4 linked regions of the Neodiprion lecontei genome follow. The protein of the gene in region 3 purifies or fractionates together with the protein of the main gene of each other region. This does not show direct contact. Links are inferred from orthologs where the notes say so. Each region holds a gene or a part of one and is shown on either strand. Other genes may lie near its edges.

Region 1 (6,293 bases), on a different chromosome or scaffold from region 3:
AACCTGATTACAGTTGCCAAAACTACGATTTCTGATTATTGCAAGGCTTAATCTGTTTGTTAATAGTTGACTAGGATCTTTTTAGTTTAACGAGGCCTTAACATCATTTTGTTCTTACAACAGCATCAAATTATCACAACGGTTGGAAGAAAATGCATCACGAGAACAGTAACATCTGTTGCATGTGATTTTATTTTTGTTAGTTAGAAAAGTGATATCCATTTTGAACCCGGAACCATATTTTTTACGGTTATGATGAGAATATGAAAATTGTCGAGGACCGTAAAGTGACAACGACTAGAAATTTCTTTCGGTAAATTCACGTCAACGCGTGAAATTAGGTTTCTGACGAGTCGGCGAATATTCTGGACATCGAGAAATTAATGAGGCGGCATGGCGGCAGTGAATTTAAACTAGCAATACTTAGGAGTATGTCCGTTTCTTTATTACACGTCTCCGCTGATTAGACAAAAAGATTATATGTGTTTTCAATTCGTTTATGGAGGCTATTATTCATTGTTGTTTACTCTCGTAGTAACGGACAGTGCAAATCGCTGGGGGAATTCTGAATATCTTAACGTATATGGGAAAACTTTATCGTCAATTAAATAGAAATATAAAAGTGAGTAAAAAATTTTTATATTCTCTCTGAGAAGAAAAAAAATTTTGTTTTGTCTCATCGAAAGGTTACCGAATACCTACTTTAATTGCGTAGTGTGATTGTAAACAAATATGTTTTTTTTTTTGTCGAAGAATGGATGCGTAGGAGAAAATCTTGCAATTTTCAAGTAAATCCAAGTACCTACGCATTGTTATACAGTTAAGTGAATATTTTTCTTTCCAATGCCACATGACTCGACTGAAAATTACCGATGTGACCCTGCAAATTGTGCCATGCGCGAAGCTCTGATATTATCATTAATGTATTGTCGATCTATTTTCGCGTTTACTGTATTCGAGTTTTTATACCAGACTTATAACATGTGGATTGTACTCAACTCAACGAACACATAAATAATGAATAATTCATTGTTCATTTATTCGGCGCTGTTTTCTTGCCCTTCAAATCGTATTTCCTGCAGACTATAAATAATCAGAAATCAATTTATGTTTCCCGGTTGTTTGATGGAGTTCGGTTTTTTTTTTCTTCCATTCGGACGGATGTGATTGAGCACCTTGAAACTCAAATGGCCTTGCATGGGTTTGGAACGAATTGTTTTCTGCAAATACAATTCAAATAGCTAGACGTTCGGGGATTTCTCTTCAATAATTTTGCGTGCGAAGAAATAATTAATATTTGCGTTATAAAATATTATTTTATGTGCGACCCGAAATCCAGTACAACTTTCAATGCAAATCATGCATTGCAAGTCTGGCGAAGAAGTTGGTAATAAACAAAAATCATAAAAGCAGGCTTACAAAAATAAAACTCAAGTTAATACGTTGAATTTTCAAAGAATCTCTTCTTACATGTAGTCCGAAAATGAAGCAATGGATAAAAACGGTAAATTAAAATCAATCGTAAATCGATGTAATAAACTCTGCGAGGCATAAATTCGTTGATTACAATCTGTGATGAGTTTGTATGGGACAAGTGAAATCATCCGGGTCGATCTGTGTCAGTGTTAGTCGATAGTGTTATTTCGACAAAATTTCCGACATAATCCATCGAAATTGGAGACAATAATGGATGATTGTTGATGATTAACGATACAACTTTTTGGTTAATTATAACTTGATTTACTTGAGTCATCGCTTCTCAATCTCCGTTACAATTTTCTATGACCCAGTTTCGAAAATAAAATAAAATTTTCCGACGCTCGAACTTACCTTGCGGCGTTGATATAGGCGAGTTTTGTAATTTTTTGACCTGCTTTATTTTCACAATAATTTTACCAACGGTTTTTGTTTGAACCTCCTGCAGATGTGCAAAAATTGAGAAAGCCAATTGCATGGACATGCAAGTTCAAGGTTGAGAAGATCTATAGCAAATTGACCTTGATAATAAAGTCGAAATTATTTGCACTCAACGCGGTTGGATCTTTCATTTAGTAAGACAGGTAGAAAGGTGATTTCTCTTTTTTTGGAACATTCATGCGTATGAAAATAATCGTTCAACATAGTATGCATCAAAATCTGGTTCCTATTCATCTACTGGCATTAAAGTTAGATATGGGTGAGAAATTCGCAAATTTAAATAAAAATCGCGACTATGTTCCCTACTCTTCGATATGTTATTCGATTAACGAAGAAGGGGCATTCATTTAGTCCATCGCATCTAAAAAGTAGGTAAATCATTTGTTCCAGTTAATTCGTCTGTTAAATTAACGAGAAGGTTAATATTCTTAGAGTGAATTTAATACAAAAACCTACATAGTTTTGTGTGTAGTTCAAACTGTTCAGAGTGTTTTTTATTTCTAATTTCAAGACAAGGAAGACTGAGAAGAAAAAACCGCTCATTGATTGCTTATATCAGATCAAGTTACTTGTTAGGAACAGGTAAAAAAAAAAAAACGGATGACGTTCGATTGACGTAGTTAATGACACCAATAACAAATATTCTGGAGACGTTGGTATCCAATACGTCAGGGAATGCTCTTTCAACTATTTACATTTACTTAAATGGTATTCTGGGTAATTGACAAGAGAAGGAATTTAAATAAGCTAAAATCATAGAACGGTAGATATTCAGGGCTGCAGACCATGAGCAAATATGTGTCCTTTTTAGCAATAATACTTCACTGAAAATTATAACCGCACTAAAACTACGTTCGGTGTTCAATTGAAATGGCAAAACTTTTGAAAACAAATTTCGCGTACGATATTTGTTAATCCAAACGTTCCAAAGGTAGAGAACTAACAAATGTTCAACGAGCTGAATGACGAGGAAAATCGTTCAAGTTTACATTTTTTGGGAAATATCTTCGGAATTTGCCGCAGCTTAGTGTATGTAATGTTTGTTGAATACAAAAATCAGTTCAATTCGTATAAATGTATATACAGTAACTAATTTTGTAATTCAAATCGTCGACATCTGTGATTTCTTCCGATATATTATGATCAACATTAGCTTACCATCAGTATTTACAAAATCCTAAATCATTCAAATTTTCAATTTTCGCTAGGTAAAAAAGATTTTTTACTTTTTTGAATATCTTTGAAATTGAAGTAGGATTATACAAAAATGTACCATAGAGCCGACAGATTAAAGGTAACGGTACGAAGTTGATGAATCGGTACAGAATTTACGAGATTAATGAGCAGAAAAAGACCTTATGAAAATCATATGAATAATTGAGATAATGAATGTGCTTACTGAGCGCAGTCTCTGCAGTTACCGACTTGATCAGATGACTCGGTTGGTAATGACAGAAGACCTTCATTACTACCGACCACGGTCTTACATACAGGTCTGGTAACTCCGGCAGTTTTGAGTGGTAGGGGGTGTCACCGTTAGAGAGGCACACGGTCTTGTTTCCTATCCATCCGCTAGGGGCGCCATTGGCCCGGGGTATGCTAGATATAGATATATACCGATAAGATAACCTGCTCATCGAAGTTTTTGCCAGTTCATAACTCAGTGTAAAGTGTGTAAGCGATGGATCATCTACACAAGATCTCAAACTGTCTCAAAAGTTGTGAGCCCTCGCTTGATGTTTATGGATTTTATTGACTTAAACATTTGAGGATTCCGTTGAAATGAAACAATTATCATGCCCGCTATGGAATGCTAGTAAGCATTTCAATCATTTTTTATTCGCATCTTTCTTCATTTTTGAGTGTTATTCAGGATTGTTGATTCTGAAAAACCAGCTGTTCGGATCTGATTTATGATTAACTCACCCCGAGGGGACAGCGCTGCAGACGGTGAAGACGAGAACCACGGTTTTGCCTCATTATCTGAGTCATTCCCCACCCTACTAGTTTCCGGACCTGTATGTAAGACCGTGCTACCGACGCAATTACTGCTGATCATAAACGCTCCGTCGACTCGGCTGTCTCTAGTCTTCTGAGTTCGTGATTGATTCACCATAGCTGCGTCAAAACCGTAGTCGGAACGGTCAAAATTAGCGTAATAAACGGAAAGGATTTGGGACACGTTTCTTTACAGTTGCTGAGAAATTTATTGTCTAGAAAAATGGTGAAGTTAACACCGGAATTGATCCAGCAATCGATGCAGTACATAAATCCTGTACGAGATCGAGAATTGGACTTGAGAGGTGAGAATGTTAACGGTTTTTCAAACGACGTTGCGCTGCTTTGGCGTAACTTAACCTGAAAAATTCAATTTTTGCACCGGTTGTTGCTGAAAATTTACTTTTTTTATTACAGGATATAAGATACCAACGATAGAAAACCTGGGGGCCACCTTGGTGAGTATCAACGTTCAAGAAATAAACAAGAACAGAAAAAGAGATTAACTTGAGGTCAGAATTGATTCCCAATATATGAGAGTTGAATTATGATGGAAGAAAGTCCGTTTTTGCATGCATGTATAAAGCAATTGTTGGGGGATGAAGAGCATTTGTTTCTGTACTTCTAACATTGGCATTATGTATTATGGTTGCCTGAAGTCGAACAGTTTGATTCAAGCCTTTGGGCTTCGAGTTCAGAGTTGGTGAAACAAAAGAGTGCTATTGATGCATTGTTAACAGCCTATATTTGTTCCAGGACCAATTTGATACAATAGATTTCTCTGACAATGACATCCGAAAGCTGGATGGATTCCCGTTGTTGAAGAGACTGAAGACCTTGTTCTTCAACAACAACAGAATAGTCAGAATAGCCGAAGGCTTAGAGCTCTGTATTCCATCGCTGGAGGTGCTTATGCTTACCGGTAACATGATACAGGAACTGGGCGACTTGGACCCACTCATTCCGCTGAAGAATCTTCGGAACTTGTGTCTCCTGCAGAACCCGGTTTCTGCCAAGCCTCAGTACAGACAGTACGTCGTCTATAGATTGCCACAGCTCCGTCTTCTCGACTTCAGGAAGATAAAGCCAAAGGAAAAGGAAGCAGCCATCCTCTATTTTAGAAGCAAGAAGGGCAAGGACATGGCCAGAGAAATAGCCAAAAAGGCCAAGACCCTTGTTGCTAACAATGGCACCCTAAGCAAACCACCCACCAATGCTGAAGAACGCACAAAGATCAGAGAGGCCATCACAAAAGCTTCGTCACTGGAAGAAGTTCAACGATTGAGCAAGTTACTACAAGCTGGTCAATTACCTGGCGAGGAATCTTCACAGAATGGTATGGAAAACTTTACTAAAATTGTTTGTACGCCTGGCCTCGGAGCTTGATTTGAACATAGTAAGACTATTCTAGCAAATTGAGTTGCGAATGAATTTTTTTCCAAATAAAACATCGAACTCGATACTTATTTCAAAATCAATTTTTTGCAGACGAATATAGCGCTTGTTTATGCTCGCGGGCTACTAATATCTCCTATTTTTCAGGCACCCCACAGCAGCCAACGCCAATGGAGGAGGAGGACGATGAGTGAACTAAATTGAGGGATAAATGTTTAATAATCTGTTTACCGCATTACGAATTAAGTTCTTTTTTTTATAAGGTTACAGCGTAATCCCGTAAGTATGCATTGCCTCCTGATCAACGTTTGTAAAATGAAATATGTAAAAAAAAAAGGTTCTGCATATTAAGCTAATAAGAAGCTGTACACTACACAAAATACAGCATTATCCATTGGAATGTATGGATAGAAAGCGATGGTAAACCGAAATAACGGTTCATTGAAAATTCTAAAAATAAATTACTCTTTGATTGCAATGAAACAAGGTTCGGAAGCGATTTTACCTGAACGAAATTTTCTCTGTAATGTTTCTCCGCTGATTCTAATGTAAATCTCTGTTTATTTCAGCGTGGTTCGAATAAAACACATTGTTTTTCACATTATAAATTGTGTCTTTTAATACTTATTACCATCCAAAGTTTCCCAACAACTTAATTTGCTTGCAGAATTTCATCAAAACTAACCATAAACTAATATTAATAGTTGATATAATCTCACGGTTTGCATTGATGAAAATTCATGCGTAAATCAGTAGCTCAAAGATCTTCTGAATCCCACATTATCACTCAAGTTTAGACGAACCGTTCGCGTCTGTAACGCAGCTTAAGCTAAACTGGAGCATACAAAATCAGCTTCGAACCGTTGTAAACAATTTTTGTTTTGATTTTCCTCACTCTAGGGTCCGTTCGAAGCGTCGAAACTCGGATTAGCGACTTAGACCGCCTGAAGGTAAATTACAAGTCATACACAAACGTAAGACCC
Region 2 (6,706 bases), on a different chromosome or scaffold from region 3:
GCGACTAAGACGCTCGTTTAATTGCCGGCGCCCCGCCAGGATCTCAGCATGGTTCGTTCGTGTGCAATGCACAAGCTATGTGTAATAAAGTAATATAATTGACGTTTCTGGCTTTCTATTCCGACAGAAAACCCGGCTGAGATGTAAGCTCGATTTAACGCCTCGATATCGCTGACCAAGCTGAGATGAGAAACGTAATTAACAGTTTCGGATGGAATACGTTTCGAATGATTGAATTTGCCTGTTGAAAGGTTTAAACTGTCATTTGAACTTATGGTCAAAGAAAAATAACAGCCATCGTAACTTCGGTTGATAGAAATTGATAATTCCTATGGTCATTGATGGAATAAATTTTTCTAGAATTTGTCACGCGGCTTTCATTCATCGGTTTAACATCGTCTCAAAAATTTTTCCACATTCAAGCGGGTTTGTAATTCTGGCGGGAAACTTTTTGAAATCCTTCCGATATGAATATCACAGACTCTCCGATGCTTGTGAAATGAATAATAAATTTTACAACCGTCATCAAGGTCGTTTCGTTGTATTATTAACTATATAATAATACAAAATAAACATTATCTTACCGATGTGAGCAGAAATAGAGCGAGCAAAGCGAGTCCGAGCCAAAAGTACCAGGCTTCCCAAAGCTGGCGAGTCGGTCTTCGCTGTACAAGGCAACATTGTGAGTTGCAGCAGTATTGCTTGTTGATTGTACAAAATATCGGACCACTGGCTGTGTAATTCTCACTACGCAGTCCGAAATTGCACTCGTATATCGGACGCGCCATTGTACGATTAAAATTACCTGCACTTACTTCAGACACGTTTGAGCAACATTGATACGGTCGTTTAATTTGTCACACAGAATTTTAAAATTAGCCACAAATTATTATACTCACTGATTGAGTCGTTTACACAGTGATAATTTATATCCGTGTACTTCACTTGCCACCGTAAAAACATATTATTAAAATACGAAGCGATCCTGTTTGATGGATAAATTTGAACCCCGGTGCATTAGCAAAAGTTCGAATCACTGTGCATTTTGTTTTGCATATAACGAAAGTTCCCGTGATTAACGACAGTAATCACCGTGCGATTGATGGCTGCTGATTTTATGGGAGTTTGTCGTGTTTAACTGGGGTGTTCGAACTTGCGCAACGCGCTTTAAATAGGGATAATCACCTCACGGTCAAAGCTTTGCAAGTTCGATCACAAGAAAGATGATTATTTGGCTCAGAGTCAATGTGCAACAGATGAAACGATCGTTTACCACGTGCCTCGTAAAACTGAACAAATTTTTAACATACCAGTTACGAATTAAGTTTACGTCGCGGAAAAGGACATGGCTACGATGGTAGTCTAGACGGCACAAATGCGAAATAATCGATGCGACGAATGTCCCTCGTACAATTTACGCCAGGTAGGTGCGGTCGATACTGACCAACTGACCGTACCAGGGTGCTAAGATAGTTCGAGCTGACTGTGGCGCATTTAAATCACTTGTTGCAAACGAGCAATGTTGCACAGTTCAAATTTGTACGATTCTAACGAATAATCGGGATGGAGGAGTGAAGTAAATTGGGATTTTCGAGTTCTTCGTTCTCCGTGTTCAGTATCATGTTTGCCGAAATTAGTTTACCTGTCTGCAACAAATAATTAAAATAAAAAAAAAATAATGCAAAAGCGTTGTGACATTTGACCGAAATCGTAGATTGGTGGAAAAAGTTTAAAAATCTTAAATTTCTAAAGAGGCACGACTATGTAACATAACTTCTTTTCTCTCGATCCAGCAAAAATATTAATATAATACAGATTTACATTTTATTCAATCAAGTCAATCATTTGTTATAAAACATTCAATTTATAAGTCCCAAATCAGTACTGTCCCGTTTCATGCGGAGGTGGTGGAGGTGGTGGGCCTCTCGGTGGGAATGGCGGCCTGAATTGCGGCGGCGGAGGGGGGGGAGGCCCTCCTTGCGAAGCAGGCGGAGGTGGTGGATGGCGCCACCCTGGAGGAGGTCTAGGCGGCGGTTGAAACTGTCCATACTGTGGTCCACCAGCACTGCCTGGGGGAGGCGGAGGAGGAAACTGGCCCTGTGGTCCCCAGTGTGGCGGAGGCGGCATCATGCGAGCAGCTTGCTGCTGCTGCGAGTTTGGTACAGGCATAGGAGGCAGAGGAGGTGGCATCCCTGGGGGAAGAGGGGGATGCGATTGGTGCATTCCTGACATCGGTGGTAATGGAGGAGGTGGAATGTTGGATGGAGGAAATCCTCCCGATGGTGGAGGAGGGACTGGAGGCGGGGGAGGGTGGTGATGGTGTCCCATCGGTGGCCCAGGAGTCGAGGGAGGCGGCGGGGGAGGAACGACCATTCCGTGATGATGGTGCATCATTCCGTGATGAGGATGATGCGGATGGTGCTGAACCTGGTGCGGCGGCATGTTGGGGTTCTGAGCCTGAGTCACTGGATTGAGAGGCGGTGCGTCCGCGAACAATTGATGCGGCCTGTCTGCTTGGCTTAGCGGATTTTGAGCTGCGAGTAGACGCTCTGCCGCACTTCCGTGACGCTCGCCCTTCGCGTCTCGCTTAAAGGCGTAGGACACGGAGATTGGACGGTTGCACAAGTACTGACCATTCATCGCCTCAATGCTAGCGTCTGATGCGTCAAATGATGCGAAATTTATAAAGGCAAACCCCTTTGAATTTCCTGTTTCTGGATCTCGCATTATCTGAAATATGGGTAATGCGGAGCGTTAATTATTCACGTTTCTTTTCGATATATGAGACGCAACAGCTTAATTACTGATAATTGAAAGCGACTTAACCTACCTTAGGTGTTTGGAGAATAACACCAAATGCACTAAACGTATCGTAGAGTAATTTTTCATCTACTTCTGGATCCAAGTTTCCAATAAAAATGTTTGCTCCTACGTCCAAATTCTTCTGATGGGCGCTAGCTTTATTTACTCTTATTGGTTTCCCGTACAGCTTGATCATGTTCATAATTTTGATCGCGTAATCTGCATCCTCCTCCCCCATAAATTCGACAAACCCATATCCCTGGTGCATTTGAGTCACTCTATCTTTTGGCATATGAACGTTAACTGAAACAGAAAGTTAGTTTTGAACAGCCAAGCATGAGACATAATTTAATGAAAATGATTCAGGTTTTTCTTATAATTTAATGGAAGAAAAAGACAATAGCAAACTTTTCTTACCGACGGGGCCAGATTGTACGAAGAGTTCCCACATGAGAGACTCCGTAACTTTGTCGTCAAGACCACCAACATAGATTGTAGCATCTGGAAATACGTCATATTCAGGTTATTTATTAGTCACAATTGACTTAAGAAATAATTATGCGCGACAATGAAGTAAAAATTAGGATTCCAGGCAACGTTCTTTCAAAAGTACTTCTAGCTACGAGATAACATAACCTAACATAACCTAAATCGTGCATTGTTCGTAACAGAAAATGTTGAGTTAAAGATGCGCAATTGAAAACTTATCCGCGATGTTTGTGAAATGCAAGAAATAGGTCTTTGAAACGAAACGACAATTGTTAATCTCCATTAATTTTCGTAAACATTATGAATTACCTTGATTTCTTTCGGCGATCGGACCGGCCGCCATCTTTCAAGCAACGCGTACGATTGACGTTACGATTTACTTGGCTGCTTAACTCGGCGTCGCTGTCTAGCTATGAAGTGAGCCAAAAATCGAGAGGCCATGATTGTCATTCGACAATCGATTTAAATGATTAAGTTTGTCCAAGCTTCGTCATTCCGACGTGTGACACGTGTGTGTATGGTGTGCGACGATGTGCGGTAGTAAACAGATATGATGTGAAATCTGCGCTATATCGCGAAGTAAATTGATTATTTTTCGCATAAAGGTAACTACTAACCGCGCGGAGAACTCCGACCAAACATTGCGTGATTGTAGGTGTAACTAATAGCATGACTCTGTTTTACGTTTGCCGAATAAATATGCCCAACGGGTAGGAATGCAGGTTCTTTATATTCCCAGTAGTGTAATATCTCTAATACGGAATAAAGTAAAAAATAAGAAATAGTCGGCTGTGCGTAGCGGGGAATCACAAGCTGTCTGCGCTTGTGAATGTGAAGTATAAAAATCCACCGGTACGACAAAATACGCACTTCGTAAATACTGCGTCGTTATAGTTTTTCATTAGAGTTTTCGATTATTGACACTTGTTTACCGCGAATATGTTGGAGCCAGTTTTAAAGTACGTTTATTACGCTGTTGCGGCAAGTTTCTGGAACACTTAACGCAATCCTTTGCAGTTGCTCGCGACACTTGCATCTGACAAGTGATAAGTAAAGAGAGAAGAAAATAAAATCGAAATTTTTGGGTTTGACACGAAACCGCTCGCTTGTTTCTAGCTTTACAACTATTGTCTGACCGCTTTTTAGTGGCTGTGGAAAAATGAGTTCCAAACCAACTACCCCTGGAAAGGTTACCCTGGGTATGCTGAAGGGTGAGATTCAATGTATTTGTCTGTCGAGACTAATTTTTATTTCGCTCTCTATTGCCTCTTGCAATGTTTATCAAATCTTTGGTACTTAATTCCTAGCATGACCAGCATTCGGTGTTTTATTTTCCACAAACCAGCCTCTACATACTTATTTTATTTCTAAACTAATGTAGCAATTACAATTTGTGCCAACAGCGTGACGACAATATGGTAGCTAATTGTTTTTGTTAAAACAGGTAAACCAATAATGACCTCGGTGCCGGTGATCCGGTATCATGCCAGTGACAATGAACTTGAGGAGCTTTACCCAAGCACAGATGACGACGAGTTGTACACTCCGGAGTCTGAGCACCCATCGACAAAATCTAGTCCATGTAAAACTAGTCGGAATAGATCTGAGGATGAATTGGGAGAAGGCACTAGTCTGGGCAGGCGATCGGCAAGCGTCGATGGAAATTTGTCGGAAGGCACACCACCCACCGATCCATGGAAGATGTTATCCGAAATCAAGGGAAAGATAACAAAAACTTTTGAGGAAAAAATTTCTGAGATTAAAAGCGAGAGGAAAAAGAAAAAACGCAGAAGCAAAGATAATTCTAGTGTTAGTGATTCCGAAGACTTGGCTGACATCACCCCAACTGAAGATAATCTTTCGGAACAACAGGAACTGGAGTCTTCATCCCCTGTAAAATTCAGTAAAAATCGTTCCGCCAGATTCACAGGATTCTATAACATTAAGACTGGTCTGAAGACAAAAAATTCTGAAGAGGATAGTGTTGAGAGTGGAGTAGAGGCTGCGGAGCTCGCCGAGGACGATTTGTTATCAAAATCTAATTTGGATGACAAAAATTTACAAGCTCAGCGAAGCTCGGATGGTAATAAAAAATTACAAACACCTCTGATCAGACTACCTTTGAATGCTATTGAGAAGCTTATTCCACAGCGAGTAAAGTCCGAACCTGCATTGACTCAACTTTTTAAGAAAATAATTTATCAGCTTATCAGCGTTCCCATAATACTTCTCGGCGCGTATCACGTTATTCCTTTGCCTGAATACATAGTTGGTCTCATTGCTGGAATATTTGTTACAATCACGATTCAAAGAGCGTTAGCTCTAGTAACTCAGACTTTAATGACACCTCAGAAGATTGAAGACGTCAGAAGCGGCGACGAGCAGGTCTCTGTTTTGGAAATACCTGCAGCAGAGGAGCATGTCGTTTTGGATCGATTTGAAGGGTGGCTAAATCAGCTGCCATACAGCTACGATCCTGACAATTACCACGTTGCTAGAACAGTTTCAGTTTACTTCAGATTAGAAGGAGGCAGCTTAAAGGTGATGGAAACTAAGACGCGAATACCAAAACGTGAAGTTTGGGACGAGCCAAAACAGAACGTTAGATACATTTGGAAGAAAGTCTACACGCTTGCTAATGCCACAATTAAACTACTTCCGGAAGGGCTGATAAGAAGAAGGTAACTTATCACAGCTGTGCCTATACAATCCCTGGTATTGTTTACTTTTTAATGTGAACCCTCTAATTTATCTTATTTCTTCTTCTCCGCACAGCTTAGAATATGAAATATGACGTTTCGTTGTTACAGGAGGTGGAGTAAAAAGTATCCAATCTGCATAACATTCGGTAAGGATGCTTTAATTGAGAGTTCTTCTTTAAATGAGACATCTGAGGATGAGATTCTTCAAAAAATTGGCGTTGATGAAGATGGCACCATTCATGAAGAGGATGAGACTGATGAAGATCTGTCTAAGGATTCAAAAGAAGCTAAAGATGTTTTTGAAGATTGCACCGACGAGAGTGGTCAGAGATCAAAGATGTACATTTTTGCACGAACAGACAGACAGAAGGAAGATTGGTAACTCTCATCAATCTTTTATAATTTATAATGCAATTCGTTTGATTCCTTATGTCATTCGTTCACTAAATATTTCAACTTGCCTTGTGGGTACATATTGCAACAGTAGCTGCAAAATATTACAACTGGTTTTCACTGCATTGTCAATAGGTTTAGACGACTGAACGATGCTGTCAATACAGCTAACAAGCGTGGGTCAGTAAGTTCTATAAATGAGATAATCCTGGCAACAACATCGCCGCCTGTACAAGGCAACAACGAGAGTAAGAATTCTGTCACTACAATCGGATCGTCAGAAATTCCTAACGAACTGAGTTACAGTGCTTATATGGCGA
Region 3 (9,827 bases):
CGCCAACCCTAATATTGTAGTAAATCTTGGCAGACTATCGGTACATTAACCTTTTGTAAAATTGATTAAAAACGTCCTGTATGCCAATTAGCATTTTTCTAAGCGAGCTAAGCCTGCAGTTGATCAATATTTGTTGGCTGTTTAAAGATTGAAAATGATGCATAATATAAGATGCAATTTCATTACGTTACGTTATGCCAGCCTTTGGAATTTTATCGATTTAACAATAATGTGAATAATTGAATACGTTCAAACCTCAGGTGAACCCACCACTTAAACGACATCATCGGTAAAGTCAAACGTAGATTACTACAGCAGTGTGAAACGCAATTCGATCTCGCGAGTGCCGAGTAAGTGATGGTTGCCTGTCGCGATACTCATTCCACTTTTAGCAACGTGCAAAATTTATAACTTTAAGTAAGCTACGATAAATTGAATTGCGAAGGAAAAAATTATTCGACTAAAGGTCAAGCAAGTTGTGATCGTGAATGAGCCTATCCATGCAGCTAAGAAATCGAAGATTTGTGCAACAATTGTTACCGCCACGCCACGTGACAGAGGAATCCCAGGGAAATACCCATAATCTAACACGTGCAACTCACCAACATTGCCGAGGAATGGAAAAATAACTCGGAAGTCTCTGCTTAGATCTGTAAAAAACAAAACAGAACATTTCAATTAATTTAATAAAATGGCTTTTCAGTCTGCAAATTAATTATTACTGTTGTCCAATTTCGTATTCATTGCATGTTATGCAAGAACAAAAGTTCGGCTTTGTATGTACCACCTTGAATTATCAAACAATAATGAAAATAAGTATTGTTACCTCGACTCTGGGCTGCTCCACACTTTTACATGTAGTAGTTCGTGCAACATCTGAAGTTTATTGGAGAAGCGAAGCACGTTTCACGTAATTTAGATCGTCACTCTCATAGTCCAAAAATCCGCACCGCAATAACACTCGAGGCTACATTCACTTTGTGTGCTGTAGCTGTCTGAACCGACTGAATAAACTTTTTAACTATACAACTGCGCATTTACCGAAGATCAGCAAAAAAAAAATAAAATGAAACTGACACACGACGCACAGATGCTAAAATAGACATCACTGATACCTAAAGGTACACAAAACAATGGAAACTCGAGACACGAAATTCACCTTGAACATGTTTTCATTTCAGTAACTCGGTTTCTCTTCAAGCTACACGCTACTCTTCGTGTATTGTTCACAGATGAGTATGGTGCAAGTACACTGATCGAACAACGCGGTCTGAATGTTGAAATAATCCTGCGTACACATTACGCCGCTCTCATCTCTCGGAAACGACTGATTCCGCACGACGTTCAGAAGAGAGTTAAATCAGTTCTGTGAAGGACGGAAGATAATAATTCTCCCGCCCTCTATGCTGCTCTTCCCATGGAGTGGGGGTAGCTGCACACGCCCGCCTGCGCCCACCTAGCTGTTTTTTCCCTCTCGTGGCCCCCCACTCCATGAGCAGACCGACACAGAGGGCGGAAGAATTATTATCTTCTGTCCTTTAGAGAACCGATTCGAATCCGTTGACGGGACGCTTAGCCCGTTGTTTATGCTTTATTTTATGTATCCCTATGGTCTCAACGGCCGGGTGAAAACACCACGTAAGCTACGCGCAACGCGATCAAAATATGTTTAGAGCTTTGCCGTAATATGCGACGTCAGGCGAAGTATGAATTCCCGGACCACTCATAACAGACATTTCTTGAACAAGATTTTGTCAAATTTTCAACTTCACTATGACGAAGGTATGTTACCAACGTTTTGCAGGCGATAGTGTAGGTTATGAGGCACTTCTTTCACCGGCGTGGTCAGTTGCTAATTGGTTGATAATACGGGAAACTGCTAATACTCTCAAACCGACCCGACCCGGCAAACTGTTACGCAAAATAACCACTGATATAGGTATTAATATATATCAGTGAAAATATCCCAGATTATCAGACTTTATACATTCTCAGTCGACGATACAAGTAAGGGGAAAATTCTGCGAAATACATTGCATTTAAGCCACGAAGCAGAATATGAGCAATGCTGTATGAGATAGTAATTAAGGTAGTTTGTGTACGCAATTTAAGTTCCAACCTGTGTGTAGGGGCAATGCACCTGTGCAGGATGCGAGATGTATGATATTGTATTGTTACTATTGCATGTAACTTAGAATAAAATGAATAATACCAAAATAAGTTTCATCATATTTTTCCGTATATTCTCAGCTTGTGTTGATCCTACGATGCTCCAATAAATACCTTTTTTGCATGCAGTCCTTGGGGTCCAATTAGTCCAGAAAGGGCTTTTGAACAGATTCTGATTGTAAGACGAAAATTTTCCGAGCTCTGAAAATCGCAAACAAGCAAGGCTATACCCTTTTGTATTTAGACGGTCGAAATTTGGCCTATTTTGAAAAATAGTTGCATGAATTCTTTGATGCACTATATCGACGTAATTTTGCGAGAGGAATAAATTGCGCGCAGTCAGAACACGCTATGAGCTACTTCATCTTGCTTCTTCATTTTCACCATTTTTTCACACTTGCAATTAGTAATCCTAGATTTCTTAAATCTGCGAATAGAAATGTTATTGAGGTCCGTTGACCTAATCACGTGGGTTTTGACGTGCGGCATTTTCAGGGGCAACTTTTCCTGCGACGTCGTAGTGCTATTCGCGTCAATTTGACACTCTGAAAATATAGCTTGACGCAGGCCTATGACGCCACAACTCTAGTTTAGGATGCGTTCCGAAATTAGCTGGCAGCGTTAACAAACTCCCTTTGACAGAGGCAAAGCCACCCACGAACTCAGCAGTGCAAAAGAGATAAAGGATCGTCGACAGCGCTGGGAGCTAGGAACGCACCCATAATGTAGCCTGTCGGCGTCAAGTACCTTAATTTTTTTGTTTACTTTTAAACATACTTTTCACCTATTGAATTATTAATAGCCAGTGTGTATATTGCACACACCACACACACACACGGGTATATATATATTTAATTTATATAGGTATATACCTACCAATTGGTGATACGGACAATTCGAATTAATTAGTTGGTCCACAGCCAGCTAGATCTAGGAGTATCGTCTTATCCGCGGACTTGCCGCAAAAACTGCCGAGAGATTTTTAATGATCAGTAAGGCACTGACTTCGGATGTCCGCTGGTTTTGCCATTTTGTGACGCTGCTTTGCGTGTACATACATAAATAATTTGTAAACAGTATACTCGTTTAAATTAGACATTTAAATAAAGATCACACGATGTCTAAGCGGAGGATTGAAGTGGTGGATCCATATATCAAACGAAAGAAGTAAGTAACTAGCACATCTATCACCTCGGTTAAACAACTGGAAGACTAAATCTTGCCATGTGCATTGTTAAAATTCCATCGCGATCCTTCTCATTACCAAAATCTAATTTTACATCTATTCACATATATACACATATTTTTGCCTCAACTTTTTCACCCATCATTCTGAATATTTTTAACTGTATTCCACGATATCTTTAGTTCCATTCGAACTTCTATATTAGCAAGTAATGTTTTATATACATACAGTACATACATACCTGTAAGAACTACAGCAAAGGTGCTCAACTTGGATTTGATGTAATTTATTTAAAACTATGTATGCTTATTATTCACAATAAATTCACTCATTGTTCATCTTGATGCTTTACTGGTAACTCCTAACCTTAAATTGTTTCAGTTATAAAACAACGTGACAGTGATTGTTAAAATAAATGTTGTCTTACTTCTTAACAGAGATGGAACAGTCGCCAATAACATGCCAACTTCAACGGCGGCCAAAAATCAAGTTCAGCATAACCCATATACCGGTCTTCCATATACGCCACGTTATCATGAATTTTATAAGAAGAGAATAACTCTTCCAGTATTCGAGTATAGAACAGACTTCATGAGGCTCTTAGCGCTGCATCAATGCATTGTCTTAGTTGGTGAAACTGGATCTGGTAAAACTACTCAGATACCGCAATGGTGTGTCGAATACTCAAGATCTATGGGTCCGAAAGCTGTGGCTTGTACTCAGCCGAGAAGAGTAGCTGCCATGTCAGTTGCCCAGAGGGTGTCAGAAGAAATGGATGTCGCTTTGGGTACACAGATTAAAATTAATATGATTATTATTGATGAAATCAGTCACACAACATATTTTTATGCGTCGAATTATGCCTCATTATTGCAATCGAATCACAAAATTTAATAATAATTCAAGGACTATCATACAAATATTCACGCAATTGTTTCTAATATGGCCAAGTTGATGTTAAAGATAATACCGTGCTTCTTGGTAAAAGTGAAAGGTTATTTTTTCATAGGACTAGATAAACATGCGAAAAAGTACCATCGTGTCCTTCTTGACAATTTTATTCAATATCGCAACAAGTGTTATTAAAGCATGAAATACATGCCTGTATATGGCCCCATGGACTAAGGGAAGGCTTAAACAAAGTCAACATCAATCCATAATTTTCAATACACTTAGAAGATCACTTTTAGAGCATTATCTCAGTTCTGTCCTGATCCAAAATTGTAGTACCCTTTTCCATAAGAGCCAAATTTTCCGGGCCAGACAAATAGTACCGGGGCTGCAAAATGAAAAAGTGAAATGGGCAAAATTTATAAATTGAATCATCGAGTGCTATACTTTATTCAAATAATTTCGTTACCTTTTTGCAGGTCAAGAGGTAGGCTACAGCATCCGTTTTGAGGACTGCAGCTCTGCAAATACTGTGCTTAAGTACATGACGGATGGTATGCTGCTTCGAGAAGGGATGTCTGACCCCATGCTCGAAGCGTATCAAGTAATCTTATTAGATGAGGCTCATGAAAGAACACTGGCGACAGATTTATTGATGGGAGTTTTAAAAGAAGTTGTGAAACAGCGTCCAGATCTGAAACTGGTTATAATGAGTGCGACTCTAGACGCAGGAAAATTTCAACAGTACTTTGATAATGCACCATTGATGAACGTTCCTGGTCGAACGCATCCTGTAGAGATATTTTACACACCAGAACCAGAAAGGGATTATTTGGAGGCTGCAATTAGAACAGTAATACAGATTCACATGTGCGAAGAAGTGGCTGGCGACCTTCTCTTATTTTTGACTGGACAGGAGGAGATCGAGGAAGCTTGTAAGAGAATCAAGAGAGAAATGGACAATCTAGGACCTGAAGTTGGAGAGCTGAAATGCATCCCTTTATATTCTACACTTCCACCGAATCTTCAGCAAAGAATATTCGAACCCGCTCCACCTACTAAACCCAACGGAGCTATTGGAAGAAAAGTTGTAGTGTCCACAAATATTGCAGAAACTTCATTGACCATTGATGGTGTTGTTTTTGTCATTGATCCAGGGTTTGCGAAGCAAAAGGTAGTTATTTCGTCACCCACAGAAATTACAATGTTGATATGTATTGAAAAATGACAAGCTAAATCCGAATATTCTAACGAAAATGGTATCACTTACCACAGGTCTATAATCCGAGAATTCGCGTAGAATCTTTGTTGGTATCGCCAATCAGTAAAGCATCTGCGCAACAGCGAGCTGGTAGAGCAGGTCGAACTCGTCCAGGGAAATGTTTTCGGCTTTATACAGAAAGAGCATACAAAAATGAGATGCAGGACAACACGTATCCAGAAATTCTTCGTTCAAATCTCGGCAGTGTTGTTTTGCAATTGAAAAAGCTTGGAATTGATGATCTGGTAAGTAGTGCGATTCTTTTACTGTTAATAAAATGAAATGAACAATTATTTGAATCAAAATTTGAATTTTACAGGTTCATTTTGACTTCATGGATCCTCCAGCGCCTGAAACACTTATGAGAGCACTGGAGCTGCTCAACTACTTGGCGGCGCTTGATGACGACGGAAATTTAACAGACCTAGGTGCAGTTATGGCTGAATTTCCGCTCGACCCTCAGCTGGCAAAAATGTTAATAGCTTCATGTAACCATAACTGCAGTAATGAAATACTCAGCATCACCGCGATGCTTTCAGGTACTGTATTGGGGTTTGTTGATTCCATTTTAATTTTAGATTCACATAATTTTCTAACATCTCTCTTATTTAGCTTAACGTCAGCTCCAAAGTTCAGAAAATAAGAAATTCCCCATAGTCGAGGATGTTGTTCAGACATTTTCATGTGTCTTCCTTATTTAAAGCGCTAAATCAGTTATAGTCTATAGTAAGAAAATATAAAATGTATTGAAAGCTGGCAATTTACAGTAGATTCAAGTTAGGATGGTGGTGAGGTAACATGGTTATGTATTGACAATTGACATGGTATTAGTCCCACAGTGTTTTGTGAGACCAAACGAGGCTAAGAAAGCTGCAGATGACTCAAAAATGCGGTTCGCGCATATCGATGGCGATCATCTGACTCTTCTTAATGTATATCATGCCTTTAAACAGAGTAAGTAAAAAAATTAATGTCATTTACGAGGACAAGTGTGCTACAGTACAATATTCAACAATTCTAAAATCAATTGCAGCCTTTTCTCATAGTGTAAATCTATGACGTGATTGAGTGTTTAAAGCTTTTGTTACTAATTGAATGACTTTTCAAAATTGATGATTCATTCCTCATCTCTGTGTTTGTGTAATTTCTTGGCACTCGCATAAAATATGGCTGTGATTTTTCAATTATGGTTTTTCTGAAACATAAAAAATTTGAACTATGAGTGTTAACACAGAAATTTAATAATTTTCAGATATGGAAGATCCGCAATGGTGTTATGAGCATTTTGTGAACTATCGATCACTTAAGAGTGGAGATAACGTTAGACAGCAATTAAGTAGGATCATGGACAGGTTCAGTTTAAAACGTACGTCAACCGATTTCACGTCCAAAGACTATTACATAAACATCAGAAAAGCATTGGTCAACGGATTCTTCATGCAGGTAAGAAATCGAAAACATTTGTAAGAGTATTACTCTACTTGTGTTGATGCGTCTCTTTTTAATATATGAATGAAAAATTGTTCAGACAAGAAGCTTGATTCTAGCTTCCCACTGATTTGGTCTTATGAGAGTAAATCACTTTTAAGCGGAAAATGACAAAGATTAATGAATAATAATGAATTGTGATCTTTTTTTTTATACCAGGTTGCACATTTAGAAAGGACGGGACACTATCTTACAATAAAAGACAATCAGGTTGTGCAATTACATCCGAGCAGTTGCCTTGACCATAAACCTGAGTGGGTAATCTACAACGAATTCGTGCTTACGACAAAAAATTACATCAGGACAGTAACAGACATAAAACGTGAGTACCATTGTAAAAAACTTTCTTTTTTTTTTCTTCAATGAAATAGAAAAAAACCGAAACACCGAATATTCTAACAATGTATGCATATTCATTTCAGCCGATTGGTTACTTAAAATCGCACCCCAATACTACGATTTGCAGAACTTCCCTCAATGCGAAGCTAAAAGACAGCTTGAAGGTATTCAAACGCGACTAGATTCGAAACAGTATCAAGAAGGCTTCTAACGTTGTTCGCTTTTAGCCACGTTACCAATCACTAACAACGGCTGTGACCAGCCCAGTCCTTCGAGCATGTAAACTCTTTTTTTTTATTCATTAAAAAAAAACCGAAATAGAGGTAAAGCAATTTTTCAAACGATCTTAGGCCAAGTTCATCTCCTGTTACAACATAAACGTTATTCTCATAATTGGCAATGATATTCATGCTGAAGGACTTATAAACTCGATGTTTATCCTATTGCTCAGGATAAATCGTCAGGATACTTAAATCCATCAACCGCTGGATGTTACATCCAACCCTAAGTACCAGTGGGCTTAATTTATACAATTTCAAAAAAGCGTAGCTGTTTGATAGTTTTAAAAGGAAAATACAATTACAAACAGAAGAGAAATTGTTGATAGGGTCGTTCATAATGTATGTAGCCAAAGTTGATATACCTTACCGACACACACCACTGCACTATAAATAATAACTTACTATCTATCAGTTCGGATATTTAACGAAACAAATGTTATTGTTAGTTACTTTTCTTGTCACTATCCCCTTTGAAACGCAAAATCAAGTTGTCGACTGTACCCAAAAAGTGAGTACGTGATCACATCGACCAATTTTGTGATCCATTTATTATAGGATACCTCACCACCCTTTGTGTATACTGTTTTATACCTACCCAAATTGAAGTAACGAATAAATTTTATTGAATTACTATTTAGCTCACTATTCCACTTGAAAAATTGCTACACGTTGGTGACTGTTCGTCATAACACATTTATAATAATAATGGCTGTGGTCTGTATTGAAGTTTCCGTTGTTTCGCTCTGTATTACTGACAGAAGCACAGGAAAATTTTCAGAGAACAAAAAAATTAATAAAACACAAGGAACGGAAATATTGTGTCAAGTTATTCGTTCAATGTTGATTAATGATTGTTGATGTAATAGAGATTTCATTTCTTAAAAATAAGTTAAAAACTACTTTGAAATTTGGAAAAAAAAAACTAACACCAGGAGTGCAGACTGTTTTTTCGTTGAAACGTGACTTCACGTTAGGATAGAAAAAGCTTTAGCTGACACAGTTTAGCGCGTATGTGTATAATTGATCATAATGAGTTACTTTTCAATTCAATTACTTACCTATGTACATCAACGTATATTACCGTAATACCACGAGTCTACACCCCGTTCGAATTTGTATAAGTAATTATTTTAACCGCTTGGGAACGGTGATTAGAGTTTATTGAGTATTTTCAATGCACTCGTACACCTTTCCATGGATAGGGTACATTCGCATTGTTAAGATCGATATTTTCTCTTTTACGCAATAAAAAAAAAAAAGAAACTACTAACCACCATGAGTTGAAAAAATACATTATTACGGTAATGTAACTAATGATGTTTTACGTGTTTGACGCCAGATGATGGGTCGCTTTTTTCAAATTTTGTACATATAATAGCGTTTCATTATGCTGTATCACTTCATTCCAATAAAACGAAGTATACCTGTAACATTTATGCATTTTTATCATTCTTATTTCAATTTCATGGTTTTTACTTGTGCACGTTTTAATGATGTTCAACTAAGTCGTGCTCAAAGGATGATGAGGTTTTAAAACTCGTCAGCAAATAGTAATTAACAATTTGTTTATTTAATTATTATATATATACAGCGAGTATCAAAATTTGAAGAAGAAATCAACGAACGAATACGAAATATCGGTTTGTATGTACAGCGAATACAGGGTATTGCTCGGAATTATTTATATTATTGAATTAAGGTATAAACAGATACACATATGTTGCGACTCCTACACTACTAAAATTTTTTAACGTTCAAAAATAGGAAATATATATATATTAACAAATCAGTTTGACTTTTGTCAAAAGAAAATATTTTACTTTTCAATATCGCTCCATATAACGCATCAGTCGTTAGTCACTCGTATTGTGTTTTTTCTCAATTTAGTAAAGGAAACTTGTGAGAAAAGAGAAAAACCTCGAGTCATTTCATTTTGGTAATATACAAGATTTTATTTCTCTCTGCTCTGACCAAGAAAAATGTGATCAATACTTCTGATCCATTGATAGCTGGAAGAAAACCAATGGCATACGTATTTATAAACTAGAAGTTTATCGGTTATTATACTGTATAGGTACATTTTTATACGAATTACAACGTTCAAACGATTACCAAATAACAAGTATATTCGATATCAAAACATCAAGAAACTTTGTTGAATGTTAATTCTTTCATGCCAGCTGTTATGAAGTAGTACGTGGCACAGTTTTTC
Region 4 (8,112 bases), on a different chromosome or scaffold from region 3:
TTATTCCAGCACTTTTGAAAATCGCGAAAATTTTCGCAAAAAATACAAAGGGGTTAACCTTCCTTTTTTTTTGACCAAAAAATTTTTCGTCTCAGAATTGATTCGTATGACTCTTTCCCGACCAATTGGACCCCAAGGAACTCAGAAAACGCAGCAAAAGGAGCGTGGGATCAACGGGTGAGAAGATACGAGGAAAAAAGCACCTGCTGAAAAATGTCGAAAATTCGGGTTTTCGTTTTTTGGCTGTAACTTTCGATGCGTTGATCGCAGCGTATTGGGACTGCGCCCAATCGATTTCTCTCGCAAAATTACGTCGGAATCGTGCCACAATTAATTTATTCCAGCACTTTTGAAAATCGCGAAAATTTTCGCAAAAAATACAAAGGGGTTAACCTTCCTTTTTTTTTGACCAAAAAATTTTTCGTCTCAGAATTGATTCGTATGACTCTTTCCCGACCAATTGGACCCCAAGGAACTCAGAAAACGCAGCAAAAGGAGCGTGGGATCAACGGGAGAGAAGATACGAGGAAAAAAGCACCTGCTGAAAAATGTCGAAAATTCAGGTTTTCGTTTTTTGGCTGTAACTTTCGATGCGTTGATCGCAGCGTATTGGGACTGCGCCCAATCGATTTCTCTCGCAAAATTACGTCGGAATCGTGCCACAATTAATTTATTCCAGCACTTTTGAAAATCGCGAAAATTTTCGCAAAAAATACAAAGGGGTTAACCTTCCTTTTTTTTTGACCAAAAAATTTTTCGTCTCAGAATTGATTCGTATGACTCTTTCCCGACCAATTGGACCCCAAGGAACTCAGAAAACGCAGCAAAAGGAGCGTGGGATCAACGGGTGAGAAGATACGAGGAAAAAAGCACCTGCTGAAAAATGTCGAAAATTCGGGTTTTCGTTTTTTGGCTGTAACTTTCGATGCGTTGATCGCAGCGTATTGGGACTGCGCCCAATCGATTTCTCTCGCAAAATTACGTCGGAATCGTGCCACAATTAATTTATTCCAGCACTTTTGAAAATCGCGAAAATTTTCGCAAAAAATACAAAGGGGTTAACCTTCCTTTTTTTTTGACCAAAAAATTTTTCGTCTCAGAATTGATTCGTATGACTCTTTCCCGACCAATTGGACCCCAAGGAACTCAGAAAACGCAGCAAAAGGAGCGTGGGATCAACGGGAGAGAAGATACGAGGAAAAAAGCACCTGCTGAAAAATGTCGAAAATTCAGGTTTTCGTTTTTTGGCTGTAACTTTCGATGCGTTGATCGCAGCGTATTGGGACTGCGCCCAATCGATTTCTCTCGCAAAATTACGTCGGAATAGTGCCACAATTAATTTATTCCAGCACTTTTGAAAATCGCGAAAATTTTCGCAAAAAATACAAAGGGGTTAACCTTCCTTTTTTTTTGACCAAAAAATTTTTCGTCTCAGAATTGATTCGTATGACTCTTTCCCGACCAATTGGACCCCAGGGAACTCAGAAAACGCAGCAAAAGGAGCGTGGGATCAACGGGAGAGAAGATACGAGGAAAAAAGCACCTGCTGAAAAATGTCGAAAATTCAGGTTTTCGTTTTTTGGCTGTAACTTTCGATGCGTTGATCGCAGCGTATTGGGACTGCGCCCAATCGATTTCTCTCGCAAAATTACGTCGGAATAGTGCCACAATTAATTCATTCCAGCACTTTTGAAAATCGCGAAAATTTTCGCCAAAAATACAAAGGGGTTAACCTTCCTTTTTTTTTGACCAAAAAATTTTTCGTCTCAGAATTGATTCGTATGACTCTTTCCCGACCAATTGGACCCCAAGGAACTCAGAAAACGCAGCAAAAGGAGCGTGGGATCAACGGGAGAGAAGATACGAGGAAAAAAGCACCTGCTGAAAAATGTCGAAAATTCAGGTTTTCGTTTTTTGGCTGTATCTTTCGATGCGTTGATCGCAGCGTATTGGGACTGCGCCCAATCGATTTCTCTCGCAAAATTACGTCGGAATCGTGCCACAATTAATTTATTCCAGCACTTTTGAAAATCGCGAAAATTTTCGCAAAAAATACAAAGGGGTTAACCTTCCTTTTTTTTTGACCAAAAAATTTTTCGTCTCAGAATTGATTCGTATGACTCTTTCCCGACCAATTGGACCCCAAGGAACTCAGAAAACGCAGCAAAAGGAGCGTGGGATCAACGGGAGAGAAGATACGAGGAAAAAAGCACCAACTGAAAAATGTCGAAAATTCAGGTTCTGGTTTTTCGGCTCTCACTTTTGATGCGTTGATCGCAGCGTATCGGGACTGCGCCCAATCGATTTCTCTCGCAAAATTACGTCGGAATAGTGCTACAATTAAACCATTCTAGCACTTTTCAAAATCGCGAAAATTTTCGCCAAAAATACAAAGGGGTTAACCTTCTTTTTTTTTTGACCGAAAAATTTTTCGTCTCAGAATTGATTCGTATGACTCTTTCCCGACCAATTGGACCCCAAGGAACCTAGAAAACGCAGCGAAAAGAGCGTGGGATCAACAGGAGAGAAATTGAGTAGAAAAATACACCTGCTGAAAAATGTCGAAAATTCGGGTTCTGGTTTTTCGGCTCTAACTTTTGATGCGTTGATCGCAGCGTATTGGGACTGCGCCCAATCGATTTTTCTCGCAAAATTACGTCGGAATAGTGCCAGAAAGAATTTATTCCAGCACTTCTCAAAATCGCGAAAATTTCCGACAAAAATGCAAATGGGTTAGCCTTACTTTTTCTTCATTTTTTGGCTGAAAATCTTTTGAACTCAGATTTGACTTGTATGACCCCGTCCCGTCAAATTATTCCCCGAATAGTTTAAAAACGTGCAAATAGATCGCCACAGCTCCGTCCGATGAGGAAATACGTCAAAAACACGTAGTAATTCCTCTTAGCTGCTAGTCCGTTTATCTCTCATCACCTGTAGTTTTAGACTGTGTACATCCGATTTGTTCTTTAAAGTTTTGTCGATATTTCAGATAGCTACGTCGTTCATAACTTATCTGGCCTTATCGGCATTACAGAATCCTTTATTAGTCGCAGTACCTACGTTACCTACTACGAAATCGCTGGAGTACATCGAGTTTACGAAACCGACCAACGTGAGTCCGCTAGAGAATAACGTAGTTTGAGCATGGTTGTTCACGATTTGGTGTTTTCGACACTGGGATGTTTTTAACATGAAATCACCTGATATTCAATATCTACACAGCACAAGGGTACTTTAAAGTCTTCTGTCATATAGAATAAGTTCGCATCGACTCCAGTTACGTGGTCTCACTCAGAAACGTTCGAGGCATTGGGTTAACCTCAAATTTTTAGATTTTTGATCCGAGATATTCTATCGATCTTATAATGTCTGAGGACGAAGTCGAAAGTTTTGAAATAACAGACTACGATCTGGACAATGAATTCAACATTAATCGTCCTCGGCGAAAACTGTCCAAAAAACAACAGATGCTTGGTAAGCAAAAATCTATTATCTTACTTTGAATTCTCCTAACTCTGTTACATTCACATATTTCTCCATCACTAAATGTAATCGTCAGGAATATGGGCTGATGACAGTGATGAAGAAGAAGTGCCAGCACGACCTTCCTTCAAATCATCAAATCGTGGCCCCAAGAATTACACCGCACCAGTTAGTTTTGTTGCCGGTGGTATTCAGCAAGCTGGACAGCCCAAGGATGACAAGAAAGAATCTGATGGAGACAAAGATGATGACGACGAAGGTGGTCGGCCAAAACGAGGAGATGCTGATTACGTTCCCAACAGTTCTAGGTATAGCTTTTAATATATTTTTTCTACCATAGTTTATGAATTATCAATCATTGTAGTGGTATTAAATATCAGTTTATTGTACAATTTTCTATTCTCAGCACAATCAAACTCATTGTGTCATCAACATAAATTAGTGTCATGAAATTCTAAGCTCTACAATCACTCTTCCACAGCTATCGCTCCCATTCTTACGCCTTTGTACAATCCATATCCTGTTCTTTTACATTCCAGTGACTCAGATGACCAAGGACCGAGCTTCGCTAGAGCAAAGCCATCATTTTCCTTGAATCTAGAAGGTGACATAGCTGGTCTGCGAAAAAAAAGAACATCAGTTAACCCAGTACTTATGAAATCAGGAGTCGGAAGTTGGGAAATGCACACAAAAGGAATTGGAGCGAAACTCTTGCTTCAGGTTAGTACACGGTTCGTTTGTTACCTATTAATGAAAGAATATTCACCTGCGATGACCAGTGTGTCGGATTTTCCTGTTATAGATGGGTTTTGAACCCGGTAAAGGTCTCGGTAAGAAGTTGCAAGGTATAATGGCTCCGGTAGAGGCTCATCTCCGTAAAGGCAGGGGAGCGATAGGTGCTTATGGTCCAGAAAAATTGGCCAAGGTGCCTGAAAAGAAAAAAGACGAGGATGTAGAGGAGGAGAAGGAGTTCAAAGCAAAATTATCGCAATGGCGAAAGGGGGAGACGGTCAGCAAGAAGAAAGTGAGATATTGCTACAGGAGCGTTGACCAAGTACTGGAGGATGGCAAGTTAAGACCGAACCGAAAAGTTCAGTTGAACAGTGAAATGAGCAAAGTCAAAGTCATCGACATGACAGGACCTGAACAACGAGTGTTAAGCGGCTATCATGCAATCGGTGGTGGACAACAGCGACCCGATGAGACTGTTACACCGGTCGATGTAAAGAAAACAGGCGTGAATTTCGCCCTCCCTGAACTCCGCCATAATCTCAATTTGCTAGTCGATTTGTGCGAGCAAGACATTATACAGAACGATCGCCGAACTCGTCATATGTCCGACAGGGTGGTAGCTCTTGAGGCGGAAAGGTCAAACTTATCTAAGATAGTAGACCAGCACGAACAGCTAATGGACACTCTGGAAAACGTTCTATCTATCGTCGATCAGCTCATGGACCAATCCAATGATCTGTCCCTAGAGGAAACTGCAGCAGCCTTCAAAGATCTTCAGGAGAAATATTACGAAGAGTATAAAATGTACGAATTAGGTGAACTTGCCACAGGCCTGGTTGGTCCCAAAGTTAAGGAATTCTTATCTACTTGGAATCCATTGACGAACCCTACGCACCCCATTCCACTATTCAAGCAGTGGAAAAATATTCTTGAAAGTGGCAGAAGCACCTTGCAAAGCGGAGCTCTGCAACCCTACGATCAACTAGTATGGAACTCTTGGATGCCGTCAATAAGAGGCGCTGTACAGTGAGTATTTTTGTCTTCAGAAAATTACATTGTCAGATATCAGCTGATTAGTGGAACTTACGTAGGTGTTGACTCTTTCAGACAGTGGGCTTGCCGGCAACCTGATCCTCTAGTCGAGCTTCTAGAGCAATGGATTCCTCTTCTGCCAGGATGGATACTGGAAAACATACTCGACTTGTTGGTTCTACCCAAATTGACGCTGGAAGTTGAGGAATGGAATCCTCTCACCGACACAGTACCAATTCATACCTGGATTCATCCCTGGTTACCATTGATAGGTAAGAGTAGTTGCTGAAATTTGTGATAAAAGAATGGTAACGGATTCGGAGTACAAGGGATGAATTATTTAAGTTCGATTTAATACATTCTCTTACTTTCCCCATCTCCGTTCATGATTTTCCGTAGGTAATCGCTTAGACACTGCAGTGTATCCGATCATTCGTCGTAAGTTGGGCTCAGCGCTAGGAGGGTGGCATCCTTCGGACAGATCAGCAAGACTGATGCTGCAGCCGTGGTCCCTGGTGTTCAAGAAGGGAGACATGGAAGCTTTCCTGGTGAAGAACATCATTCCAAAACTTCAAGTAGTTTTAGCCGAATTTGTGATCAACCCGCACCAGCAGCATCTGGACCAATGGAATTGGGTATTTGAATGGAACGAAATGCTGCCGATTCACACCATGGCAGGTCTACTGGATAAATTCTTTTTCCCCAAATGGCTTCAAGTCCTGGCTCTCTGGTTAAATCATTCTCCCAATTACGATCAAGTCACCAACTGGTATATGGGATGGAAGGGAATGCTGAGTGACAAACTGCTGGCAGAGCCGCAAATAAAGGGCGAGTATCTGTCAAGTTTTTTCTCACGTAAAGGACGTGTCGCAATAAAACCTAAACGTGCTCATGAAAATATTTCGAATTTTCAGACTACTTCAAGAAGGCGTTGGACATGATGAACAGAGCGGTAGCGGCACCTCAGGGACACCAACCCGGAGCAATGGAACAAGTGTCCTACCTCACAAATCTCGAAAGAACTCAAACCGCTCTACCTCCGTCTGCGCCAGCCGCTCAGCCCAGGATGGAGGTGAGAACAAGAGAAGAAAGATTTTATTTTATCTTTGTATCGCCGTGTAGTTAACGCAGATATCTATAATGACGAGTTTCTATGATTTCCACTTCAGAGAATTGCCGAGGCCGTGCGTACCGCGTCGCAAATTCCACAAGGCTTCAAGGATCTCATACAAAAGCGGTGCGAGGAAAGAGGCATCCTCTTTATGCCCGTGCCAAACAGATACAGGGAAGGGAAACAAGTTTATAAAGTCGGCAACGTTCAGGCTTACATCGATAGAAACGTCGTCTTTGTTTGCCACAACGGATCCACATGGGCTCCGACCCATTTGAACGCGTTACTGGACATGGCTGAGATATAGGATTGTAAATACCATTGTACATACTTGCAGTGAAGTCTTAGAATTTAGATAAATTAAATATGTTCACGATGAAACGATTGTGACGAATTTTAATTATGCGGTTCGCTATGACCCTTGCCATCCATCCATCCTGTTTAAAATATTATATCGGAGATCCGTCATATCGATATAGCTAGCCCATCAACATGTAATTTCAGGCGAATTACACATACGTTTGTCGTGCGGCATTGAGAATATGCGCAGAGAGAAATATTTGGGACTTTTATAATTAAATCTGACTCGAAGTGTTAAATTTTACAATATCAGATGACGTCTCATGAGAATGCTATTGGTAATCAGACGCAAACATCAGACGATGTTGGATTCATTACAAAATAAGGCGGGCCTGAATAATTAATACTGTAAATATACCGCAGTGTATATCTATTTTAACGGTAACCACAAAGCACAAGCAGCTCAATACGTCAGTGTACTTGGGCGGTTTGTTTATTTAATTCCGTATGCCTCATTCGATTCCAGGCGTATCACGCGATTCAACGGGTTAAAATCCGGAAAGATGACCTAGCGCATAAACGAGGGAAGCATAGGCGAATAAGGCATAAATCGGCGGAGCAGCAATAACGATAATTAATGCCTTAGAGAGGTAGGCAGGCAGGCAGGCAGCAGCAGGCAGCAGCTGTGGAGGCAGGGAAGGTTCTCCACCTCTATTTAGCTGTCTCGCGTCGAAGGCGTGTAGGCGCCCCTGGTTATCCCACCACTAAGGTGCAGCTTAAAAACTTCTCGATATGGAAAGTTGTATAGTTGATTCCCGCGGAGACGAGGTCTGGCTACGGGCAGCCAACACCGACGCGACTTCGGTCGCGTTGAATGGGCATCCTTCGCCCACGCGTCATGATCCGCGACATCCGCGACGTCCTTCCCCCCCACCTCACTACTTCGAAGCCAGCGACGAAGGGCAACGCAGTGACTTCAAGACTCCTCGGCATTTCCTCCTGCAGCAGTCACGAACGCGTCTCGCGGTGTTGGGAAATTTGCATCCCGGCAAGATGCGAGAGTGCCTGGTAACTGTCCGTCTCCGCGAGGCTTCTTCCCTCTCTCCGGCACCTATCCAGGACCTGTAAACTCCAACGGTGCAGCCTCTGAGACTCCGGGGCACATTGTCTGATGCCGATCCTTATTCTCTATGCGCAACAAGGAACTCGCGTCACCCGCTATGCGAAGTACTTATTGTATCACGTGTACCTACTCTTGTACACCCGTATATACGTGTATACCCAAGCTATCCTACAACCTTATACACGCAACGTAATTTATGTCGGCGTAAATTGCGGAACGCCGATAAACGCGTATGGCCGCAGCTATCGCTGGGACTCTCGCTATACCAACGTCCGTTTGTGCACGAATTGACGTGCAGTATAGGATCGAGATACCACCTCGCCGTGCGGAT

What was found.
Region 1: the proteins of putative pre-mRNA-splicing factor ATP-dependent RNA helicase PRP1 (region 3) and probable U2 small nuclear ribonucleoprotein A' fractionate together in Homo sapiens (co-fractionation; 3 studies listed by BioGRID and IntAct, with this or other methods). This does not show direct contact. The link is inferred for Neodiprion lecontei from reciprocal best matches to the Homo sapiens genes DHX15 and SNRPA1.
Region 2: the proteins of putative pre-mRNA-splicing factor ATP-dependent RNA helicase PRP1 (region 3) and splicing factor 3B subunit 4 purify together in Homo sapiens (co-immunoprecipitation; 4 studies listed by BioGRID and IntAct, with this or other methods). This does not show direct contact. The link is inferred for Neodiprion lecontei from reciprocal best matches to the Homo sapiens genes DHX15 and SF3B4.
Region 4: the proteins of putative pre-mRNA-splicing factor ATP-dependent RNA helicase PRP1 (region 3) and septin-interacting protein 1 purify together in Homo sapiens (co-immunoprecipitation; 4 studies listed by BioGRID and IntAct, with this or other methods). This does not show direct contact. The link is inferred for Neodiprion lecontei from reciprocal best matches to the Homo sapiens genes DHX15 and TFIP11.

The regions. Positions count from the first base shown.
Region 1 is NC_060263.1:37,389,676-37,395,968, forward strand, and holds probable U2 small nuclear ribonucleoprotein A', read left to right. Parts: upstream 1-3,978; 5' UTR 3,979-4,138; coding exon 4,139-4,220; intron 4,221-4,332; coding exon 4,333-4,373; intron 4,374-4,671; coding exon 4,672-5,251; intron 5,252-5,457; coding exon 5,458-5,504; 3' UTR 5,505-5,793; downstream 5,794-6,293. UniProt on the Homo sapiens protein: Involved in pre-mRNA splicing as component of the spliceosome. Associated with sn-RNP U2, where it contributes to the binding of stem loop IV of U2 snRNA.
Region 2 is NC_060261.1:8,362,162-8,368,867, reverse strand, and holds splicing factor 3B subunit 4, read right to left. Parts: upstream 3,745-6,706; 5' UTR 3,635-3,744; coding exon 3,601-3,634; intron 3,304-3,600; coding exon 3,220-3,303; intron 3,106-3,219; coding exon 2,831-3,105; intron 2,731-2,830; coding exon 1,879-2,730; 3' UTR 1,808-1,878; downstream 1-1,807. Other genes in the region: uncharacterized protein LOC107218135, read right to left, coding at 585-788; testis-expressed protein 2, read left to right, coding at 4,451-4,502, 4,736-5,972, 6,102-6,371, 6,522-6,706. UniProt on the Homo sapiens protein: Component of the 17S U2 SnRNP complex of the spliceosome, a large ribonucleoprotein complex that removes introns from transcribed pre-mRNAs.
Region 3 is NC_060264.1:26,636,946-26,646,772, forward strand, and holds the start of putative pre-mRNA-splicing factor ATP-dependent RNA helicase PRP1, read left to right. Parts: upstream 1-3,155; 5' UTR 3,156-3,286; coding exon 3,287-3,336; intron 3,337-3,506; exon of another isoform or gene 3,507-3,636; intron 3,637-3,792; coding exon 3,793-4,142; intron 4,143-4,725; coding exon 4,726-5,420; intron 5,421-5,521; coding exon 5,522-5,752; intron 5,753-5,826; coding exon 5,827-6,046; intron 6,047-6,338; coding exon 6,339-6,461; intron 6,462-6,759; coding exon 6,760-6,950; intron 6,951-7,154; coding exon 7,155-7,317; intron 7,318-7,417; coding exon 7,418-7,545; 3' UTR 7,546-9,827.
Region 4 is NC_060265.1:1,084,165-1,092,276, reverse strand, and holds septin-interacting protein 1, read left to right. Parts: upstream 1-3,112; 5' UTR 3,113-3,365; coding exon 3,366-3,474; intron 3,475-3,559; coding exon 3,560-3,791; intron 3,792-4,022; coding exon 4,023-4,203; intron 4,204-4,285; coding exon 4,286-5,241; intron 5,242-5,322; coding exon 5,323-5,519; intron 5,520-5,646; coding exon 5,647-6,075; intron 6,076-6,161; coding exon 6,162-6,319; intron 6,320-6,416; coding exon 6,417-6,665; 3' UTR 6,666-6,739; downstream 6,740-8,112. UniProt on the Homo sapiens protein: Involved in pre-mRNA splicing, specifically in spliceosome disassembly during late-stage splicing events. Intron turnover seems to proceed through reactions in two lariat-intron associated complexes termed Intron Large (IL) and Intron Small (IS).